Drosophila melanogaster: one gene and its partners. The protein of the gene in region 3 interacts with the protein of the main gene of each other region in a pairwise test. Each region holds a gene or a part of one and is shown on either strand. Other genes may lie near its edges.

Evidence for each region. The genes of interacting proteins can lie anywhere in the genome.
Region 1: the proteins of CG13838 (region 3) and CG17107 interact in a two-hybrid assay, tested with the Drosophila melanogaster proteins (one large-scale study listed by BioGRID).
Region 2: the proteins of CG13838 (region 3) and ND-75 interact in a two-hybrid assay, tested with the Drosophila melanogaster proteins (one large-scale study listed by BioGRID).

The regions. Positions count from the first base shown.
Region 1 is NT_033779.5:10,678,646-10,685,800, reverse strand, and holds CG17107 (uncharacterized protein), read right to left. Parts: upstream 3,836-7,155; 5' UTR 3,811-3,835; coding exon 3,520-3,810; 3' UTR 3,273-3,519; downstream 1-3,272. Other genes in the region: CG7299 (uncharacterized protein), read left to right, coding at 1,429-1,962; CG17105 (uncharacterized protein), read right to left, coding at 4,443-4,754; CG17104 (uncharacterized protein), read right to left, coding at 6,446-6,897, 6,996-7,155.
Region 2 is NC_004354.4:8,245,379-8,254,761, forward strand, and holds ND-75 (NADH dehydrogenase (ubiquinone) 75 kDa subunit), read right to left. Parts: upstream 6,310-9,383; 5' UTR 6,219-6,309; intron 6,074-6,218; exon of another isoform or gene 6,011-6,073; 5' UTR 6,006-6,010; coding exon 5,823-6,005; intron 5,752-5,822; coding exon 5,420-5,751; intron 5,352-5,419; coding exon 4,325-5,351; intron 4,265-4,324; coding exon 3,776-4,264; intron 3,717-3,775; coding exon 3,552-3,716; 3' UTR 3,273-3,551; downstream 1-3,272. Other genes in the region: Trxr1 (thioredoxin reductase 1), read left to right, coding at 716-1,061, 1,132-1,358, 1,430-2,316; CG1632 (uncharacterized protein), read left to right, coding at 8,046-8,078. UniProt on the Drosophila melanogaster protein: Core subunit of the mitochondrial membrane respiratory chain NADH dehydrogenase (Complex I) that is believed to belong to the minimal assembly required for catalysis. Complex I functions in the transfer of electrons from NADH to the respiratory chain.
Region 3 is NT_033777.3:23,037,876-23,045,074, reverse strand, and holds CG13838 (uncharacterized protein), read right to left. Parts: upstream 2,835-7,199; 5' UTR 2,743-2,834; coding exon 2,467-2,742; 3' UTR 2,406-2,466; downstream 1-2,405. Other genes in the region: CG17121 (uncharacterized protein), read left to right, coding at 1-102, 171-258; CG13837 (uncharacterized protein), read right to left, coding at 414-1,085.

The DNA.
Region 1 (7,155 bases), on a different chromosome or scaffold from region 3:
AAATGAGCCCCTTAGGTTTGAAGCTATCTGCATGAATCTTCCCCAAAAGCTTTTTTCTAATATAGGGTAGCATATAACTCGGAACGAACCGGATCGGCAAACAATTTTTCGCTTGATCATAAAAAACACTCTTATTCGGTGTAAATTCGTATTTGAGTACAATAACTTTGTATTTTGCTTAGTAAAAATCGAACGACCACAACTGCCTTGGAAAATTATTCGAAAATAATAAAAAAGAAATCATAGTTTCAATGTTGTAACTCGGTAAGCATCCGTATTTTTTAAATATATATGTACATATTTAAATTTATATAGATAAACAAATAAATACACGTAGTAGAAGGGTATATAAGCTTCGGCTGAGCTTCCTTTCTTGTTAGATCTGACTCGACTATCCGCACGTCCGCAGTTTAAATTATCATTTTTATTTCGCGTAAATGAAGTTGAATACAAACATACATATATTCATCGCTAAAAAATATGTAAATTTTATAGGGGCTTGAACGGTTGCCGGTAAATTACAAAAATATTGATAAGAACCAGATGTGGGTTTGCTTCCAAATATGGAATAATTTTGGATTTATAGCAGAACAAGGAAACTCATAGAAAAGTGTTAATTAAAACCACATGTGCGACTTTGTAAGAATATATTGGTAGTAAGCGACCGAAAATATTTAAATATATTAGGGTAATGTTTTTAAGCTTGCCAAATTTGTTGATTCCAATTTGATTATCATTGGACTAATACCGCTAAGGATTCTGAAACGGTTCTTTTCACAATGATCATGTAATAACGCTTCTATATTAAGGTAGATTTAGATTTCAGGAACCACTTTGCTTCTATATCTATGCTGATAAAAAAAAAAAAAACAAACATATAACACATTCTAGTGTTAATAGCTAATAGCTAATAAAGAGAATTCCCTGACAATTAACTGCTTCTATGTCGTTTCCGTCTGAAAGCGATGCGATGATAGTGCCGAAAGTAAGAAATATACTGGCTTAATGAAATATAAACACAAATATCAATAATCGTTTAAATATTGATATCATCAAACCGGTTCCTTAGTAAACCACCACGAACACGGCTCGTGTTGGTCTAAAGACATTTGCAAACTTTCCTTAAACCATTGCATTCGATCAGAGCACTATCTGACTCTTTCACTCGCTATCCGTCCCACTCTGGAGCGCTGTCCAGATCGGGGGAATCTATCTGTGATCTCCGATAATATTGAAATTATTTTTCGGCAGTGACTATTGTTTGCATGCTAATTTTTATCCGAAAGCGGAGGCTAGATTAGATTATTGTTTTTTTTTTTTATTTTTTTTTGTTTGTTTGCGTCTGCCTGCCGTCTGGCCACTATAAAAACCAGGCCCTGGGGCATTGGCCATTAAGTTTGTTCAGTCACTCCGATCAAGCAGATCACCATGAAGGTCTTTGTCGTTCTCGCCGTAATCCTGGCCGTGTCCAGTGCCGCCCCGCAGTTTAATAATGGCAATGCTAACGCAAATGCCAACGCAAATGCTGAGAGTGAGGGCGGTGGAAGACCAGGATTCAGCGGACCTGGTTTCCAGAAGGAAGGCGGATTCGGAGGAGGATTCGGGGAACGAGGCCCTGGATTCGGAGGACAGGGTGGATTCGGAGGGCCAGGACAAGGTGGATTCGGAGGACCAGGTGGCTTTGAAGGACAAGGTGGATTCGGCGGACAGGGTGGATTCGGAGGACAGGGTGGATTCGGAGGACAGGGTGGATTCGGAGGACCAGGAGGATTCGGAGGACCAGGAGGACCAGGAGGATTCGGTGGTAACTCCGAAGCTAACGCCAATGCCAATGCTGTCGCCAACTCTGACGGAGGATTTGGCGGTGGTAATGCCAATGCAAACGCCAATGCCAATGCCAACACCCGAGGTGGCAGTGCTAATGCTAACGCCAATGCCGTCGCCAACGCATTCCGCAAATAAGCCAACAGATCCGAATTTATTCACTGAGTAGATTTTTAATATTTATAAAAATAAAAATAAAAAACACAAAACTATGAACATTTGTAATTCTTGAAAGGCATGTCATCACAGTAATGAGGTCCATGCAAACAAGGAAAACTAACACAGAATCCTTTTTAAGTATAGATCCACTAAATTGAATGTGCATAAAAAGAACATGTGCATTTTTGCACACATCCAATTACATTTTTTTTTCCAGGGGAATGCTTTGTCAAGAATATTTTGATAATATTTTATTTCGAATTTATGCATTTCTATTATGAAAATATAAATGAAATGATTCAGTCGCAAAATTGTTCTAGGCTGATAAAATTACAATTCATACATTGAAAGCGTATTTTGTAAAAATGTTTGTAGTCTTTTTGGAATAAACAAAGAAAAATATTTTACTCTTTAGATTTACAAATTATAATTATAATGTGTGTTCCACTTTCTAGAGCAACAGAAAAGAACAGACATTTCGAAAACATCATTGATATGCAGACTGTGTGCTTTGATTAGTGCAAAAATTAACTATGATAATAATATGTAGATAATTTAGCTAGAATTAAAAACTAGAAAAAACGCTATAGCCGAGTTCCTCGACTATCTGATACCCGTTACTCAACTAGTTCATTTGGCACATCAATAGATAGGAAAAAATGGTAATTAAACAAAAAAATATCAAAAGCATTTTTCAAAAGTGCAACGTCCCTAAAATCTGAATGCAATATAGATTGAAAATGCTCCTTCTATCTGTTTCATACATTCTAATAAGCCTAGCATACCCTATTACTGTACGATTAAGGGGTATAAAACTAGTTTTATTTCGGAAAGGTTTGGCTACCGTAAACGTAGAAACTTATCCAGATGTTGATAATTTGCAAATTTAAATATTGCAAACCCGAGTTTTAAGAAGCTTGACAATATATCAAGAGACGTCGGACTTCATTTGTGAAAAAATATCTTCGATTTATTAGACCTGCTGAAATTGAGTGTGTCACTCCGTAAGTGGCCAAATTCAAGACTTGTTGTGGGTGGCAAATGCAATTACTTAATTACATAAAAAAAGTAATCACACAAAAAAAAAAAACTCACAAATTGTTTGGATTTCCGGGTAAGCTGTACAAACAAATGATGAATGAAATGAGCTTAATGATTTTAAATATAAAAATAAATTAAATTAAAATTGAGATGCACTAACTATTTGCAAAAACTATATATATATAATGCATACTTTTCAGTTGTAATTCAAGTTGTTAGATACATTTTAAAACATAGTTTCTAATATTAGCTCCCGCTGTTAACTTAGTCTGTTTTTAGGAGGCTAGAGAAATCTTGTTTGACGTCATTAGATCTATAAATAATGCCCGACTCATAAACTGGTTATTAACCTAATATACGAAAACAACATCTTGGATTTCCAAAAACAGAATTAGCATTTTAATATTTATTGGTATTGGTATTGGTTTCAGTTTAGTAGGTCTGTCAGCGGACGTGCCCACTTTTCGAGAGTACAGTTATGAATCCGTTTCGAGCCTATCCATGTCTGCCATGTCCACCTCCACCTCCTCCGGAGCTGGCGTTGGCGGTTGCAGTGGCCGAGGCCGAGGCGGAAGCTGGGCCGCCTCCTCTGCTGTCGGCGGTTGCAGCGGCATTCGCGTTGGCAACTGCGTTCGAACCGCCGACTCCACCGACTCCACCGCCTCCACCGCCTCCACCGCGACCACCGCCACCACCGCCTCCACCGAATCCGCCGAATCCACCAGGATGTGCCTGAACGGCCACCAGGGCGAAGATTAGAAAAATGCAGATAGCCAGGAACTTCATCGTTAGAGATTGCGATGTTTTGTGATCGCGTGCTGGCCTCTTTTATACCAGCATCCGTGACAGGTGGACGACTTGTTTATCTGAAAAACAAAAAAAATCACAGAATCGATATTGTATCGGCATATATATGGGGGCTTCGATTAGCACATTAATTAGACATATATTAAAAACGCATGACGTTTAATATTACCTATATGTATAGTATATGCTTATATACTATGTTATCAATAATTGAAAACTGGTTAGCTTTGGCAAGCCATGTTTTGGTAAAGTATATTTTCAGGCTGTAAAAAAGCTCAGATAAATTCATTATGATAATCAGCTATAAAAACTAGTTTATCATGTAAGTCCTTAGATTTGCTTCTGTTTACACATTTTATACAAAATTCCTTTTCCGGTGATTACAACTTTTGAACCCGAAAATTATATATATATTCTTCACTTAATAAATAATAATTAAAAATTAATAAATTTATATTTATAGTATATTATACATAGAAGGTAAGGCCATTGTGTTGATAACGTTTGGCAAAAGTAATAATAGAAAAATGTCTTAGTCTTTATGCAATAATTATGCATTTGTTTATTTTTTAAAGCAATTGCCGTTTCTGGACTGCTGTTATCATCATTCCTTATCCGTAGTAAGCACCCGGACTGTAACCAACTGAGTTTGCGTTTGCATTAGCGTTGGCAGTGGCTACTGCGCCTCCACCACCACCGCCGTAGCTACCGGGTCCGCCGTAGCCACCGAGTCCTCCGTAGCCACCGGGTCCTCCATAGCCACCGGGTCCTCCGAAACCAACGCGTCCTCCTAAGCCGCCAAGTCCTCCCAAGCCACTGAGTCCACCGTGTCCTCCGTGTCCAAAGCCACCGTGTATACCAGGATATCCTTGGACTGCCACAATGGCAAGGAGCAGGATAGCGCAGAGTGCATATAATTTCATCGTGGGATGTCCCACTATCCTGTGTTTTTTTTTTTTCGTATGACAACTTAATTTCCATAATGAAACAAAGAAAGCAAAAATAAGTCTACTTAACTTGTTAACAATGGTTAACTAGAGCTTAAATATATAAGTGGCATAGTTTTCGGCTGTAACAGAAGTTGTTTTTATTTTCTGCGAATGAAGCTTTTATAGCCAGAGCTTACTGTAGCAAGCATACAGTGAGAAATATTTGCGAATCTTTTTGTTTTACAAATCAATCTACTGTAGTAATTTGGGTCATTAAATGTCCAGGATAAATTTATTCATAAGCAAGGAAAATGGAGAGATAGAGAAATTACTTCAATGTTATGATAGAAATAACTAATCTATTAATTTCATTTCTGCAATTGTGGTTACCATCTTAATATATATATTTTTCTTCATCCCGTTAAGCTTATGACTAACTGCCTGATATCGGTACATCCCACGACCTAGAGCTTACTAAGTCAGTTGGCTTAGTAAATAAAGGCCAGTTAAGTGGCCAAAAAAAAAAAAACCCGTATCGCCAAAACCTTCGATCCGCATTCATTCGAACCATATTCAACATGCAGTTTAGCGACTGCCGCTCAAGTTCAAATGGAAATTAGCGCTTGGTGTTTGTTTTATAGCCGATTGCTTTCAAATTCCATCGAGGGTGAGGCATAGCAAACGTGATACTCATTGCAAAACCCCCAAAAAAGCCCTGTGCTTCTTCATGGATTCATGGATTTTCACAAGCCGATCGATGAATGAATAATCTGCCAGGCGACCCAAGCCTGCAGACCTGACCACACCAAACCAGTCAGCTTGACTGGTCCACGTGTCTGTCCATCGGACTAACTGCGTCCATGCCGGAACATAAAGCCCAAAAATGTATGACGACAACTCTTGAGGAGATTGCCGGTTTTTCTTTTTCTGTTTTTTATTTTTTTTTTTGCAGGTGGGCAGCGATCAGCTTGTGGGCTGCTGAATGTCTGAGCTTGTGTTTGACTTGATTTCTTGGGTGCGCTGCTCGAACAATATACAAAATGATTCATATTCAGTGAATTAGATTTGAAAGAAGTCTATACTATATTGAATACTCTACATTGAATGCTCTATATTAAAAACTCTATATTGAATATTCAATTTTAGGAATAGACCCTACATAAACATGATTTAAATTATCTTTCCCTCTGCTACTATTAGAGGGTATCTTTTGGATCACCTCAGCCAATCACGTTTCGTTGCGGCAATATTATGTCCCATTTGAAGATCGATTTTCGGATCAACAATGTTTAAAATACCTACTAACGCTTTGTGCAATCGCCAAAACAAACACAAAACGAAAGATGGGTGTTCATGTTTTATTTATAATTTATAAAATCGCTTATCTCACGCATTTCTCCTCATTTTTGTCATTTGGCAGACCGTTCACAAATTTTGCACAATATTATTTTTGTTTTGTTTAATGTCTGTGCGGATTTGTATTTCCATCGATATCTTCTTACGCATCGTTATTTGTTTTTCTTTTTTTTTTTTGGTTTATCACACTGTGCGGATCGTCGCATAAAATTTAAATATTTTTGTTTATAACTCGTTTAGAATTGAAAATTGCCTAAAACAACCCGAGCATCAATCTCCACATAATGGCAAGTTGTCCGACCTTGACAAGGTCGTGTGGTGCTGACCACTCACGAGCGGTTGGTCCGCACCACAGACGAGTATCCGTAGAGCACCTCCACTCCGTCGGAGTTGAAGATTCGCTCCACACGCGGAGCTCGCGTCTGAATGGGGCGTTCTGTGGTGGTGGTTGTGGTTGGAGCACTGGTGGTGCTGGTGGTACTTGTCGTAGTTGGAGCTTCAGTGGTGCTCGTCGTAGTTGGAGCCTCAGTGGTGCTCGTTGTAGTTGGATCTTCAGTGCTGCTTGTGGTGCTCGTCGTAGTTGGAGCTTCAGTGGTGCTCGTAGTGGATGTTGTGTCCAAAGCACTCGTGGTGGTCTCTGGCTGGAAGTTCTCCAATGTTCCCACCTTGGTGGTGATCAGAACAGTCTCGGTGGTTGAAGTGGAGGTGCTTGGAGCTGTTTCAGTGGTCTCCTCAGCCTCACTGGTGGGTTTAAATGCAGAGGACAAAACTAGTGGCAGTTCTGTGAAAAAAATATGTATTTAGTTAACATATTGTTGGCAAGGAAATGGGTTTCGTAAATAAATAAGTCACAAATATATTTTTAGATTAAAGACACACCTGTAGTTTCCTCAATGGCACCCTCAGTGGTGGCTGCCTCTTCCTTTACTGTGGGCACCACCGTAGTTGATTCCGGTTGTGGTTCAGTGACGATAGGAGCTGCATTGCTAACGTATTGGTAAACAGGCACCACTGTGGTTTCCACCGTCTCTGCCTGATC
Region 2 (9,383 bases), on a different chromosome or scaffold from region 3:
GGGGCGTAGGTGGACGGACGGAAGAAAGGCGTGGCCGGGCTGGGATGGGCGTGGCTTGGTGTGTGGCGATGTCGCTAGATGATTGCTCCACTTTGATTCGAACTCCCACTGACCCAGTGGCATGTGTGGCATTCGGCAGCACTATCGCTACCTGGCAACTGAAGCCAAGGAGCTCGACGGGATTGCACGGTGCAGATTACGGATTGCAGGAGGCCAAACAGTCTTCGTTCCGCACTTCTTTGGTCTGGATGCATCTGTTCGAATTCATACCGGCTTCCCAGTTGGTCGAGGGTGAACCACGCCACCGGAGGAGCATCTACCGATCCGCCTATCTGGACATACGACTGCGCGAGGAGTCCACCAAAGGCAGGCGGGGATTAGCCATAATCATGAGTGAAGCTAAAGAGAAACTTGAGTAGTTGGCACCACATGGCTAATTGATATCATTACCTATCACTGATAAGGATTTTCAACTAATCTAGATACTGGTTAAGAACAAAAACAGACCATGCCAATACAACATGGCTATTGATGTTACTAACGGTGATAAGTTTTTAATAATACAAGGTGAATTGGCTGTGCTACGATTAGATTTCCTGACGGCTCCTCATGTTCTGTGACCTCTTGACCTCTTTAAGCCCAATTTTGGCAGTAGATTACATATTTCTATAGACAAAAGGCGATGAATCAAACGAAAACCTTTTTTCTCCTGCAGGATCCTACGACTACGACCTTATTGTGATTGGAGGCGGCTCAGCTGGCCTGGCCTGCGCCAAGGAGGCAGTCCTCAATGGAGCCCGTGTGGCCTGTCTGGATTTCGTTAAGCCCACGCCCACTCTGGGCACCAAGTGGGGCGTTGGCGGCACCTGCGTGAACGTGGGCTGCATTCCCAAGAAGCTGATGCACCAGGCCTCCCTTCTGGGCGAGGCTGTCCATGAGGCGGCCGCCTACGGCTGGAACGTGGACGAAAAGATCAAGCCAGACTGGCACAAGCTGGTGCAGTCCGTACAGAACCACATCAAGTCCGTCAACTGGGTGACCCGTGTGGATCTGCGCGACAAGTAAGTGTGACTATATCTATGGCTTCCGCTCGAGCATCCCCACTAATTATACCCTTCTATTTGCGCTCAGGAAAGTGGAGTACATCAATGGACTGGGCTCCTTCGTGGACTCGCACACACTGCTGGCCAAGCTGAAGAGCGGCGAGCGCACAATCACCGCCCAGACCTTCGTCATTGCCGTTGGCGGCCGACCACGTTATCCGGATATTCCCGGTGCTGTCGAGTATGGCATCACCAGCGATGATCTGTTCAGTTTGGACCGCGAGCCCGGCAAGACCCTGGTGGTGGGAGCTGGCTGTAAGTAGCTACTTTCATTTGCTTACATCAAATTGATGAATAACCCATTCGGTTTCTGCTCTTTCACTCAGACATTGGCTTGGAGTGCGCTGGATTCCTGAAGGGTCTCGGCTACGAGCCCACTGTGATGGTGCGTTCTATTGTGCTGCGTGGCTTCGACCAGCAGATGGCCGAGCTGGTGGCAGCCTCGATGGAGGAGCGTGGCATTCCCTTCCTCCGCAAGACGGTGCCGCTGTCCGTGGAAAAGCAGGATGATGGCAAGCTGCTCGTGAAGTACAAGAACGTGGAGACCGGCGAGGAGGCCGAGGATGTTTACGACACCGTTCTGTGGGCCATCGGCCGCAAGGGTCTGGTGGACGATCTGAACCTGCCCAATGCCGGCGTGACTGTGCAGAAGGACAAGATTCCAGTGGACTCCCAGGAGGCTACCAATGTGGCAAACATCTACGCTGTCGGCGATATCATCTATGGCAAGCCAGAGCTGACGCCCGTCGCCGTTTTGGCTGGCCGTTTGCTGGCCCGCCGCCTGTACGGAGGATCTACCCAGCGCATGGACTACAAGGATGTGGCCACCACCGTTTTCACGCCCCTGGAGTACGCCTGCGTCGGCCTGAGCGAGGAGGATGCCGTCAAGCAGTTCGGAGCCGATGAGATCGAGGTGTTCCACGGCTACTACAAGCCCACGGAGTTCTTCATTCCCCAGAAGAGCGTGCGCTACTGCTACTTGAAGGCTGTGGCCGAGCGCCATGGTGACCAGCGCGTCTATGGACTGCACTATATTGGCCCGGTGGCCGGTGAGGTTATCCAGGGATTCGCTGCCGCTTTGAAGTCTGGCCTGACTATTAACACGCTGATCAACACCGTGGGCATCCATCCCACTACCGCCGAAGAATTCACCCGGCTGGCCATCACCAAGCGCTCCGGACTGGACCCCACGCCGGCCAGCTGCTGCAGCTAAAGCGGGAACGCAGCTCAGCCGCCTGGGACGTGTCGAAGCCGCTTGCTCCACCCGAAATCCCGTAGATGAATGGTTGTTGTCGCGGCCCAGCGATCGATGAGTTCAATAGTTCCGTTTCGTTTCCACAATTAACACCCAACACAATAGCTCTGCGCAAGGGAGGGGCACTGGGCAGCGATGGCGGGTGGAACGACACCAGTGGAACTACCCGCGCGACCAGCCCAACCCACGACTGCTGCGCCGCCGACATGCACTCAAAATTTTGAATTTGTTTGAACCTATGAAATTAACTATGAAATCCCCTAAATGTACGGTTGAAGAATATAATTTTTCACCAACAAACCCCTCTGTGTTTCAGTTCTGTGCATTTCCTTTAAAACATACCTCGACCTTTAGCCCTTCCTCTGCCTTTTCAATCAAGTAAGTTCATTAGCCATGCAAATGGCTTGACTTGACCTGGCTAAATCGATTCTGTCTGCCAGCCTGACAACTTGTTAGCCACCCGACTAATTGCTAATGCCATTGCTAGGGGAATCTTTGCCCTCGAGGGCTATAAATCAGCTACGAACGATGGCACCCTGGAGATACATATATCAGTGGGTAATAAATTATACTTTAGTTTTCAAAGGAAAAACAGTGCGTGATAAAGTGTAATAGAAGCTACGAAAAGGTTGAAGTTTATGACCTAAGGAATCCTCGCAAGCAAATCAAAATCAAATTAAGACAGTAAATTGATGCAATCAATTAATGAACAGCAAAGAGAATTCAATAGCTTCTATAAGGAATTAGCATTAATCATATATGTATGTATGGAACACTTTCGAGGTGGTATCTCCGATTGGATGCCACGAAACAAAGCGAGATGGCTATACTATGAACCAAGCGACTTGGAATAGCCCAATATACCCATAGTGAAACCCAACCCATTGATAAGTCGCTGTTGTGATATTTTTTCTATTACATTTTTATTTTGGTTTTCCTATTTTTCGTATTGAATAACTCCTTTGTTTTGAACAACGTAAGACTTTTTCATTTACAACTGACGCAGCGCTGGCGCCTCTGCAGCCGCCGATCGTGCTCCTCATCCCGCTACTGCGCTGGCTCTTCCCGCGGCTCGTCCTGGTGTCTTTGTGTCCGTTAATTAGTGGGCGAGTGCGGCGCGAAAGGACGAAGGGCAGAGTTTAAAAAAAAACATTAATTAGTTATTAGTTTAGATCAGACGCGAGAGTGGGCGCCTAGATAGCCACACTCTGCTTGGCCTCGTTCTCCCGCTGCTGCTTGTTGACCGCCGATATGCACTTGGCCATGGTGGGCGAGGCGCGCGAAATGGCGTCGGTCATGAAGTAGTCGCGCAGCTCCTTTAGCTTAATATCGATGGCGCCACCGCCGATGGATTTGCTCTGCAAACAAACAAACAGTAATAAATTACAACTTTCAATGGAGCATAATTTCAACTTACAATAGTGCCCGCTGCTCCGGCATCGCCGGCTGGCTCCAATTGGCCCAGGCGCGTTAGATGTGGCGCCACATCCTCCAGACGGTTGCGCAGCTCGTCCAGGTTGTCGTACGGCAGCGGCTTGCCCACCACCTCGGACAGAGCGCGCAGGATCTTCCAGTCCTCGCGAGCCATACCCGGTGGCGAAACACCAGGCAGCGTCTGCTGCGGCCTGCCCTCCGTGTTCACGTAGATGCCCTGCTTCTCTGTGTAGGCGGCACCAGGCAGAACGGCATCGGCAATGGAGGCGCCGTTGTCACCATGCGATCCAATGTACACCACGAAGCAGTCCTTGGGCAGCTGCTCGCGAGTCACCTTGCCAGCGTCGGCGTTCAACAGGAACAGCACCTTGGGCTGAGCCTTCACAGCGGTCTGTGCACCGGCCTTGTAGCCCACATCGAGGGCGCCCACCTGGGCGGCGTTGGTCTGCAGCACATTGAAGGGGTTCCAGTTCTGTAAGCGAAGCATGAGATTAAGCAGGAATTCATGTGAGCAAAGGGATGACAAACTTACCGGCTTCTTCAGCTTCTTGCAGTACTCGGCAACGGTGGCGTGAATGGCGGCACCATCGGCACGCTCCAACAAATCGGCTCCAATAATGATGGCCGGCTTCTTGGCACCCTCCAAGACCTTGGAGAAGGCATGAGCTCCGGAGCACACGTCCTTGACTAAAGCGGCATCGGCGCCAAGGTTCTCGTGGTCGTAGGACAGATCGATCTTGGGTCCAATCGAGGCAATCTGCAGTTCGTTGTGCACATAGGCCTTGCGCAAACGGGTGTTGACCAATGGAGCCTCGTAACGGGGATTGGTGCCCACCAGGAGAACGGCGTCGGCCTCCTCCAAACCGGCAATGGTGCTGTTCAAGAGGTAATTAGCACGGTTGTCGGTGCCTCCGGCAATAAATCCTTGTTCAGTGGCGACCACTTCGCTGCCCAGACGGTTCAGCAGATCCTTCAGGGCCACCTGAGCCTCCAGGTCGGCAAGTTGGCCAGAAATACCGGCAATCTGTCCACCGGCTGCCTTAATGGCCTTGGCCACGGCGATGAGGGCACCCTCCCACTCTACGGCCTGTAGTTCGCCGTTGGGCATGCGCACCATGGGAGCCACCAGGCGCTGGCGCTTCAGACCGTCGCAGGCGAAGCGCGATTTGTCAGCAAGCCATTCCTCGTTGACGTCCTCGTTCTCACGGGGCAGGATGCGCAGCACCTCATTGGTGCGGGTGCTGACGACAATGTTGCTGCCGACGGCGTCCAGCACATCGATGCTGCTCACCTTACGGATCTCCCAGGGACGGGCCACAAAACTGTAGGGCTTGTTGGTCAGCGCTCCCACGGGGCACAGGTCGATCACGTTGCCGGACAGTTCGGTAAGGAAGAGCTTCTCCACGTAGGTGCCGATCTGCATGTCGTTGCCACGGCCAGTGGTGCCCAGGTCATCAACGCCGGCAATCTCGGAGGCGAAACGCACACAGCGGGTGCAGTGGATGCAGCGTGTCATGATGGTCTTGACTAGCGGTCCGATGTCCTTGTCCTCGACAGCGCTGTTAACGCATTAGGTAGAATTCAGTTCAGGTTATGGAAAAGGAACTTTATGGATTATTCTCCTTACCGCTTGCCCGTGTAGTTAATGTCCGTGAAGCGGGATCGATCGGAACCGAAGGCCATGGCCTGATCCTGCAGATCGCACTCGCCGCCCTGATCGCAGATGGGGCAATCCAGCGGATGGTTCATCAGCAGGAACTCCATGACGCCCTCGCGCGCCTTGCGGGTCAAATCCGAGTTGGTCTTGATGCGCCAGCCCTTCATCACGGGCATAGCGCAGGCGGCCACTGGCTTGGGACTCTTCTCCACCTCGACGAGGCACATCCTGCAGTTGCCGGCCACCGCAAGACGTTCGTGGTAGCAGAATCTGGGTATCTCCACGCCGATCTGAGCAGCAGCCTAGGATTTGCAGGGCATAGGGGATATGGGTTTAGAAGGCACTTCCCGCGAACGAGGGACTGGAAACCAACCTGGAGGACAGTGGTGCCGGGTACCACCTGCACGGGAATGTCATCCACAAAGACCTCGATCTTCTCGGGCGCTTTCGCCGGTGTCTGGGCCACCATGGCGCTGGTTCGCACCGCCCGGCTGGCCATCTGATGTGTGGGCGAGCCCAGAGCGCCCAGCGCCTTGACTAGCGGTGCCCGTATCATATTTTCTGCAACGAGATGGTAACCAAAAATCCGTTGCAATCGGAGGAGCCAATAAAAATTACATAAGTGTTTTGGTACGCTGGTTGGCACAACACTCCCGCATATCGATTGTTCGCGATTCGTGTGCGTTTTCGGAGTCAGCTCCTCCACTGCACCGCCATTTGCCACCTGAATGGGGATCCTGGAGGATGCCAAAAGTGGGCGAAGACCTACCGAAATGCTGGAAAATATTCCTGTGATCTTTTAATGTGGAGACAACTTTTTTTTTATCGGATTTTGCTTTGACAGACCGACCGCGTTGCCAACTGCCGCGTTGACAGCTGGTCAATCGCAATAGTTTATCGGTTTTTAAATTTATTCCTTAAATATAAATTTATGTGCGACACCAATTTATAAATCTCCGAAATTAGTTTTCTATTCAAAAAGTATATATTTGATATTGTTACCTGCTTCGATTACCACCTTCAAGTTCAAGTGTTACTGTAGTTGGCAACGCTAGTGAACAGCTGTTCAATTTGTTTGGCCATTCACTTGTGAGCGAACTCAGTATCAAGCTTCAAATCTCAAATCACAGATGGAGCCACTCAACTAATTTATTCGCGCTCTCAAAATTAAACGAATTTTTAAAACTTATTACTTCAAATTAAATATAGTTCACTTATTTTATTTAAGTTCAGAACTGTATTGTAAATATTTTATTTTTGTTCTTGACTTTAAATGATTTGTTGTTAAATATTTGACAGTTTTGATAGAAGTTTTTTTTGAAGTTTTTACCACGTAAAATTAAATGTTTTGTTTTATTTTCAGTTCTCTTATCAGCTAACACTCATACAAACGTATGTGCGTACTTATGTATATCTGGCCAGGATCTTTTCCGCTTCATACGAATTAATCATCGCATAAATTACCGGCTTAAAAGTGCAGCGTTATTCTCGTTACACAGAGAGAAATTTGGTTTAATTTTTTGCATAAGATAACACTTATCAGTTGTAAACAGAGAACAGAATTGAAATGATTTAATGATTTGTATGTAACAATACTGCAAATAACACATATAATATTAAGCATGCCAAACGCTGAAAATTAAGACTTCCAATCTTAAATAAACTAAGCGATTTAGAACTCATACTCTTTTGAAACAATTACTCCAAATATTATTCTACACATCATCTGTTTCATTTCTTCGGCGCGTGTAGAGTGGGCAAATATTAGGCATCAGAAGACTGAAAACTGGTTGCGACAACTTTCGTTGCGGCCGCCGAAGAAGTCGCCCCGTTTGGGCCAAGTTAGTTAGCGTTTTAGCTCCGCTCGAGACGGTCGTGCATCTTTTCTCATCGCATCGGCACTCAGATCCCAAAAATTCCCCCAAATCGCGCATTTCCAGCATACGGAGTGCATCACTTGGCGATATATTCGAAAGAAAGAAAGGTGCGCGCATGCGCATATGGAAAGCGGCAAAAGCGGCAAAAGCGGCGGTCGTGTGTTCTGCAAGACGGAGCGTGAAGTGCGGCATTGTTTGCATTTAATATATATAAATATTATATATACACATATGTATTTATTTTGTATTTTGTTTTGTTTGTATTGTGTGCCTCTGCCTAAATGCGGATAAATATGCGGAAAACCTAATCCGCCAAAAAAAACGAAACAAAAAAAAACATAACAAAAAAGCAGCTGAGGAAAAACAAAGATCGCAACAACTGGCGACGTCAACTGGCCATATCGATTGCAAGCCAAGCGGGGCTGTGTGACACTTTTCCGCGGCGCAGCAAAACAGGTTGCCATCATAGCCAGCCATTATAGTCGTTTTGGCCAGCACCTAGGGCTGCTTCACCTGCTCGCCAGTTTACCTGGATCACCGCCTGGCTAATTTGGTGGGCATGCTGTCCACTTTGTTTCGCCTTCCATAACGAAAGCAAGCGGGGAAACGCTGAAAGGTTTTGCGAGTGGCGCGAATCCGCGATAGCGGAGCAGGCGCAGGACAGCTCGAGATCCGTATCCATAGCGGGAGCCAGATCGAGATCGGAGCCCAGAACCAGGATGTCGGACATATACTACTGCAGCAACAGCCAGGTGAGTTCTAGTTCAAATCAATTACGCGTGGCCGCTGTCAGGAAATGCGGCTAATTCCAGCGGCCAGTAGTTAAACTTAATCAGAGGTCTGAAAGTACACATTTCTCCGGTTCTTAATTGGATTATGAGGCGAACTTGGAACTTCTCTTTCTTCGCGACTGGCCAATATGGCAGTAAAATTCTGCATGGCCTGGGTATGATTAATTAAATCTGCGAACGCTGTTATATGTCTAATTAAGAATTAAGAAACTAGCACAGTTTTCTGGATTCCAAATGCACATAAACTACCATTTCAATTTGATTTACTTTTACTAGAAAAGTTTGGAAAGCCATGCTGATCTCAGTTCGTAACTTGCCAATGCCTTAGATAGTTTTTTAGATAGAAAATCTAGTATCTCGCAGATACATAGATATTGAGTGGCAAAAGCAAAAGGACCTAAGCCTCTCCCTGCGCCCAGGGGCCAAAATCAAGTGCATTGTTTTGGCCATTTCCCAGACAATAGTGAAATATATCCGCGGATTCCTGGAGGCCATTTACCATAGCATTACCCATTGCCATGCCTTTGGAAATGCCTTTCGAAATTCCAAAAAAATCCGATGGGGCTGCGATTATCTGTGGGGATTCTTGAAAGGGCAACAACACTCGCTGGTTATTTGGTCATTTCGGTTTTTTTGGTTTTCGTTGGCTTATTTTTGGTCACTCGGCTTAAACGGCTTTCCAATCGCTGTCATAATTGGAAATCGTTGAGCTGCCATAATTAATGAAACAAAAGTAAAAGCGTCGCGTTGTTTGGCTGTTTGGTTTTTTTTTTATATGTTTTTTGTCGTGCTGCGGATTGGCATTATGCAATAATGCTGCACTACTAGACGGCGATATCGGTAACCTGCTAACGATTTCCAATCTGCAACGGGATCGCATCCACAGTAGTCGTCCGCGCATGTACAGTGGCCACTCGTGTTAACGCCCTCTTGCGATCGCACACTTACTATTCCGCTCATTAGAGTAATCAGTTGTATGATCATTCATATTACACAGCAATAAAATGTTACAATACTCACCCACTTCATTGTGCATTCACTTCTAATAACAGGTAAAGCAGCAGCTTAAGTTCGAAAATGAGTTAATTTTAAGCAAAATGTAATGGTAGCTTAAAATGTATTTAATATAGTAATTTATAAAAATTGCACTTGAATATTTTGTATATTTCTATTGAATCATAGACTTATTTGACCGCTTTGCTTGCATTTTGGCCCACTGTGTGAGCTTTGGCTACTGCTAAGTTTATGGAAATTACAATGCCACGC
Region 3 (7,199 bases):
GCCCACACCATATGTGGCCGAGAAGATTGTCAAGGGCGTGTTGCTGAACGAGCGCATGGTGTATGTGCCAAAAATATTCGCACTCAGTGTATGGCTGCTCAGGTGAGAATTGAATTAGCCCAGGTAACCAGCGATTATTTCTAACGATTATTGTTGTCGCCTTGCTTTAGACTGTTGCCCACCAAGTGGCAGGATTACATGCTGCTTCGCTTCTACCACTTCGATGTGCGCAGCTCCCACCTGTTTTACTGGAAGTAGGGCACAGGAGAAGGCACATCCCCACCCAGAAGCATTTACTCCTGTTTGTTTCCCAATTGCAGTTCTTTATTCAACTGTTGCTTACGCTAGGTGTACATGTTTAGCTATTTATACGAATCTTTAACTTAAATTAAATCTATATCCTAACATTAGAATTACGTCCGGTTGGCCTTTCCTATTTTATTTCGTATAAGCCGAAGTTGTTCGGAGTAGCACATCCTCTCGGACTGCTGGACGCAGGACCTCCGTTCGTAGTGCCAAGTGTAGTTCAAGTGGCATCGATGGACCAGCTTGGAGCCACTGGAGCAGTAGTAGAAGTAGGCGCAGTTCCGTGGATGTGGCATAAAGCCATAGACTCCCTCCTGGCAGTTGATGATATTCTCTCGCGTTTGCATGCGATTGCAGGACACTAGATGAGCAGGAGTACAGGCCTTGGCCAGTCCAGCCCCCTCGTAGCAGACCATATAAGGATAACATGGTCCGGCATTGGGTAAAAGTCGCAGGGTAATCGCCAATGGTTCCGCTTTCTGAGCTGGCTTCTTGACCATCGAGGGGGATTTAGTGGTTATGCCTACGGGATCCCGGCATCTCGACACCAACTTTCGATCCAAACAGCGTTCCAATTTTTCGTCGTAGTAATGACCATCCAAGCACTCGGCCTCAAAGGATCCTGGACCGGCACAATATATGTATTTGGAGCAATTGCTAGAGCTGGCGACATAAACTCCCAATTGTGGAGCACTGGCACACTCTTCGAACTCCAGGGCACTGGATCGATGACCCAGCAAGGTCACCAAAATAATTGTTAAGAAGGTTACAGCTCCCATTTCATTTATTTTTTTAACGACCGAAATAGCGGGATGACTTCTGTAGACTGACTTCATCGATGATGGGTTGAGTATATTTTTGCATGTGCTCCAACTGATAAAGAAGACAAGTTATTCCATCGATTACTACGCTGGTTATCGTCTGGTAGATACCGCTAATGAGCACATGGCAGTAACTGCCACGCCCACTCTGGGCGGTCTCGGTAATTTGCATTTTCGTAGCATACTTCGCAGCAGCAGCAAAGCAACCGAGTATTTAATGATACCACACCGCAGCATAATGCTCGACTGGGCGCCGGTTCAATAAAAATTGAAAATGCACTCAATTCGCAATTAAGTGTCGCCACTTCCGTACGGACAAGCGGACAAACGGACGGACAAGCGGACAAATGGACGGATAAACGGACGGATGGATGGTCGTCGAACGATACCATTCAGGCCATTCAATCCATTCATCGCAGTCATCCTCATTATTATTTCCATCGTCATCGTGGTCGTTGCTGGTCGGAGTTAAGCGATGGCCATCGATTTAATATCCGATGAGATATTCATAACTTGCAATTAGGTTTGGTGGCTCTGCGCTTTACGTAAATGATTGCGTAGCCGATTAATGAAGAATTACCAGTGCAAATGGCTGGGATCTGTGGGCATTATCCAATTGACCAACTACCATGCTACCCCACTACCATTACCATTACCATAATGTGCAATGTGCCAATTGGGCTCAAATTAAAAGTTTTATTAATTGTCAATTAAACGCTGTCGCCCAGCAGCTGCTTTGTGGCATAATTTTTGGGTCAATCTGCATATCTGATTAACAGGTTATACCGCTCAGTCTACTACATATACCATGCACCAGATGCCGCGGGGCACAGACAACAAGAAGTAAAAGAAAGGACCCCATATGGTGCCGACGGCTCAAGTGATTAAGTGCACGACGAGATCTTCAAATGCAGTGCAACATGTGCACAAATACAAAACACACACACACACACACACACACGCATATTGAAAATGTATGTAAATTCTAATTAAGATTGTGGATGAAGACCCCCAGCACCTTGATACTTCTGCTCAATGCGCATTGCGCATGCGCAGCCCCGCATCCGAAGATCCATAAAAATAGCTCACTAATTATTTGTGTGCTAGGGTTACAGTTCTCATAAAAAACAAACAAACTGTCGGGCGTTTTATGGATCTTCTGCCTCTATGGCCTCAATGCCCCCGCGAAGTTTTCGATCCCCATTCGATTCGAAACCGAAGAAGAGCTACGACCAATCACTTTTCAATTCCTATGAGCAGTTGAGCATCAATTGATTTCGATATGAAAATAAAATACATTTATTTATTATCACATTACGTATCACAGCCATTCGCCCGCCTACGCCCTGGCATCTGGATCGCCACATCCATCGTGCGGACCTTGTGCCGGCATTTCCGAGCTGATTAGCCTCCGAATCTCGACCAGAACCCGGTCCGTTCGAGCCTCCAGGTTGTCGAGGGCGGTGTTTAGGTCATCCAAGCTGGAATTGACTCTGGCCATCAGACGCTCCGAGTTGTTGGTCAGCTCGATGAGGTCATCGAAACTGCTGGCCTGGCGACTCTCCATCGATATCCTGTCCAGATCCAGCTGCAGCTGCTCATCGGCGCTGTCCATCTGGGCTTTAAGGGCTGGGAAAACAACTTTCGATTTAAATTTAAATTTTTTTCACCCTAAATCATGATTTTCGGTGTTATTTTGTGCCATGCGATCCGAAGTGTAAAGCAAATTTGACTTGGTTTGTTTTGCTATCGAACATAATTAAAGTTGCTTACCATAAACCAATTTAATTTAATTGTAATTGCAGCTAACTGGCTTTTGGGTACTTTTGCTTTTAACGCCAAATGTGAAATATTAAGTATATTTTATTTAAGCGATGGCACCTGTAAATTGAGATTTAAGGGGTATATTAAATGGGTGAACTTGATGATTTTTTTTTTTCATCAAACGTTTATTAAAGTCTATTGCTTAAAAAAATGAAAGTAAATTGCTTGCCATTTTAGGAGGATATTTTTGAAAAATCGTTACAACTTTTCAAATACAATAAATTAAATGTTTTGAAAAATATTTGCGCCCAGGGCACCAGAAAGTCCACTCTTCTTTTTCGACTATTGTTTGTTTTGCTTTGTTTGTAATTGGCGAGCTATTACAAGAGCTACACTCGTTCATTTCATTAAACCCATTTACAAAATGGCTTTGTCCATTATTTATACATATCAATTATAAATTTGTGCGCTGCGACTGCAATATTCATATTCACTTGTCAAAATGTCAACTCAAAATAGAATATTTATGAATTTTTATGTGTGCATATCGGTCCGTGATTTGTTTGTTTTACGCTCTCCTTTCGAGAACTCTTTGTTAGCATTCAGGATTGGGTTGAAGTAAATAATAAAAAAAATGCAGCAACCAGAAAAGAGGAGAAAATGACAATTCAGCCTATAAATACGCGGCGGCAACCGAAGTTGAAATCAATTTTTTTGGCCCCATACTGCGGTGGTCGCGTTCCCCCCCACCCCCGCACCAGTTTGGTACTGAAAATTGGAAGTGGGCTCCACCGAATGCGGTGCCACTATTTAGTTTAGCCGCAGAACAAGGTGCCTCAATTTATTTTTAATTGCATGCAAATTGAGCCAATCGGCCGGCTGATGGATGTGGTTGCTTGTCCAACGATGCGGTCTTTTTTTTCGGCTATTAAGAGGATGGACTGCTGCTCCTTTCTGTTTCATCTGCTGGCTTAGGCATTTTCACTTAATGAATTTTCATTCAAAGTGACTGCTGCAAGGATGTGTCGTCCTGGCTGTGAAGTGAACTTCCTGCCATTAACCGAACTGCTGCTGCTGCTGCTGCCAGCATGGTGGCCAAAAAGTATGCCTCTGTTGACGTTTTCTTTGTGGTTGGCTAAAATCTGTTATTATTGCCATTAAGCTGGCTTTTGTTGTCATCTCTCCGGCCTGCCTACATACGCATACACATACATCTATGTATGCATATGCATTTGTGCATTTACCCTGCCGATATCCTTCAGCTCGAGTGGTTGTGTGGATTTTCCTGGTCTTCCAGCGGGTTAACTTGGATCTGTTCTTGAGGTTGTTATCACTTGGTTATTGAATTTTCCGCACACACTTTACAAGCTCTAAATCTAAACGGCTCAACTTGTTGCCGCCGCCCAGTTTGAAAACGTTTTTGTTACTGCTCGTCGTCATTAGTTGAAAAGCGCTCTTAGTTTGCCTCGTTTGTTTGCCGAAAAGTCTCATTGTTGCCACGTCTTTGGGTCCGGCTTCTTCTGGTTCTGTTGTTGCTGCATAACGCAGCCTGTTGTTGTCATCAGGTTGCATTTGCGTTTTACACTGTTTTGCCCAAATAAAGGCATATAATTTATGTGTGTGGTAGTAGTCCTGGTCGTTGTGCCACGTTGAATGTCCTTACCGAGCTTATATCCGAGCGGAGAATACTAAGTGAGCTGCAGCTCCATTGTGGTCCATAAACTTTGTCACGCTGTGTAGCCTCTTCCCTGGCTGCCGGCACTGGTTGTGGCCATCCTGGCCGAAGGACACTGCTTTGGAGGCGATTGCTCAGGCAGGACATGTGTGCCCCGCATCGCTGCCCGTTATTGTTTTCCAACTTTTCACTTTGGTTATGAGATGTCCGAGCGCCGCAGTCAGTTGCACGCTCGCCTCCATCAGCGTCGTCTCCATTCTCCATGCCGCTGACCACAGCGGACAACGTGGACTTTTTGACCAAGCTGGTCGTGTTCGTGCCCCGAGTGGCATACACGGCAAGAAACTATTAGGGAAGATTCAAAAAATTATTGAAGAAAACAAACTGGAACAAACTGGAATGGTGCCTTACTTGGTCTAACCATCTGTCTACATGATATATATAACATAACATAATTAGGAATACCCATTTCAAAGTGTAAATCCTCAAGATTGCATCTTAGCTCAATATTTTCTTAAGCACAAATCTTGACGTGCATGCAATTCATCATAATAATCCCTTCTTTTTTTTCCGCAGTGGAAGGACGTGTGTGCTGGTGAGTGCTGTTATGCTTATATCCTGCGGCTTAAGCATTTGTTGTTTTACAACGTTTCAGTCTGTTTGCCAAGTAAATAAAAGCTGTTAACTAGTTTTCACACACCGAAGCCGAAAAGGTGGCGGCAGGCGCTTGGAATCGCATCGGATTGGGATGGTTTGGAATGGGCTTGGCTGGGATTACATGGTTGGGTTTTCCGAGACGAGCTGCAACACGTGCTGGACAGTTTTTTGCTCGGCTCGTCCTGTTTCACTTCCTGTGCCTCGGCCAGTGCCATTCTAAATGCTTTTGTGCGTAACACTCGTGTATGAGCAATTATTTAATGCCGTCCGCTTGTCATTGTTGTCTTTGGGCCCAGAGTGTTGCCTTTGTCTTGGCCCGAACAGTAGTGGAAGCCAGTACTGGCAGTGGCAGTGGGCCAAGTCAGCTACAGCCGAGTTGTCTTTGCCGTGTCTGCCCCTTTTGTGTCGCTCATTTATTTGTGTTTATCCTTTCGCTTTTAATTGCGGCTCCGTCCTGCTCCTGCAGGACCCTCCTGCCACCGCCGCCGCCCTTTGTGTAATTACAAGTGTTTGTTGTGTAAATAATAGCGTTAGCTGCCTGGGCCGAGTACCATCGTTGACGCATCGTTTGCATGCTCAGTTAATGCCGTGCATCAGGACATCCTCCATTGTCCCTATTCCACCATTCCGCCGTCTGTGTGTTTATCTCTGTGTGCGAGTCTGCTTCTGTCTCTGTCTGTGGCACGCAAAATTAATTACAAGAATTAAGCAGCGCAACGCCCGATCTGCCGGCATTGACACAGGTGTTTTGGCCGCCCGCCGTAACGTATTTTCCTTAGATAATTCCCACACAGCTCGACAGCCATGTGCTGCACCTTGAACTCGAACTTAGACTAGGGGAAATGCTGCTGCACGGAAGAAAATTCAAAGTACTCGAAGTACTAACTACAACAATCCCACATAGAAAGTGAGTTTTGTGCTTCTAGATACCCTTTTAGTTTCATAACATCCATTTTTTCTGTGTGAAACTCCGAGCATTTCTGGAGGCGGGACATTAATTCATTCACCTAGAGACACTTACATGTGGTGCCCATTAGCTCGTTGCCACGCCCCCGTGAAAGGCGAAAGGCAAATGCCAGCGAGCCATGCGACGCCAAAAATTTCCATTTCGTTGCTTGAACCGTGCATAAATATGTCAATAGGGATTATCCCATCCCGGGCGGCAATAAAATCTTCGGGAGCTATAAAAAAAAAAAAATGAATGGAAAATAAAAATGGGGAAAATGAAAACCTCAGCTAAACAAACAGCGGCAGCGGGAGCTGCAACTTGATTATCCTGGCAACCTGCCGCGCATTTTTCCCGCCGCTGAATTATGACATTCGACTGTCAGTGTGGGTTCAAGTGGATTTGGGTTAGAAGGCATCCATGTTGCTTGGCTGCTCCCGGCAGGCGTGAGAATGCGTTATCCTTGCACCTAAACAAACACATCCGAAGCAGCATCCTGATGCGGTAGCTCCTCGAATCCTGGCCGAGTGTCATGTTGCAGAATGTTTTCGATCCTACGGATTCTTGTGCATTACACGACCGGCTAATTTATTTACTTTACGGCCCGCGGTGCACTTGTTGCGTTGCTGTACTAAACTGGAACACATGTTCCAAGGATAATAATCGAAATGGCCTGTTATCCGTGTCTCATTATGTCCTGCACTTGCTGCTGTTTCTGCTCTCGCGGTAGCACTTCAGATTGGTGTTGACAGCCGCGCTGAGAAATTGCCTCGCCCTTCTGCCTTTCCACCTTTTTTGTGTTTCTTTTTTTTTTTGGTTTTTAATATTTCTTTGGTTCCTTACAAGAGTCCTAAGCTCTGAGTGGCCGACATGCTAATGTGAAATATTACAAAACTAATGGAAAAAACGGAGAGCCATGCCATCGAGATTAGCGCGTTTGAGCACTCAAACTCCTCTCGACACTTTTCACTTTCCTCCGCCAGCTGCGGCCTCTCATTCTCTCATTCCGGCCATCTCATTCCGTTTCCAT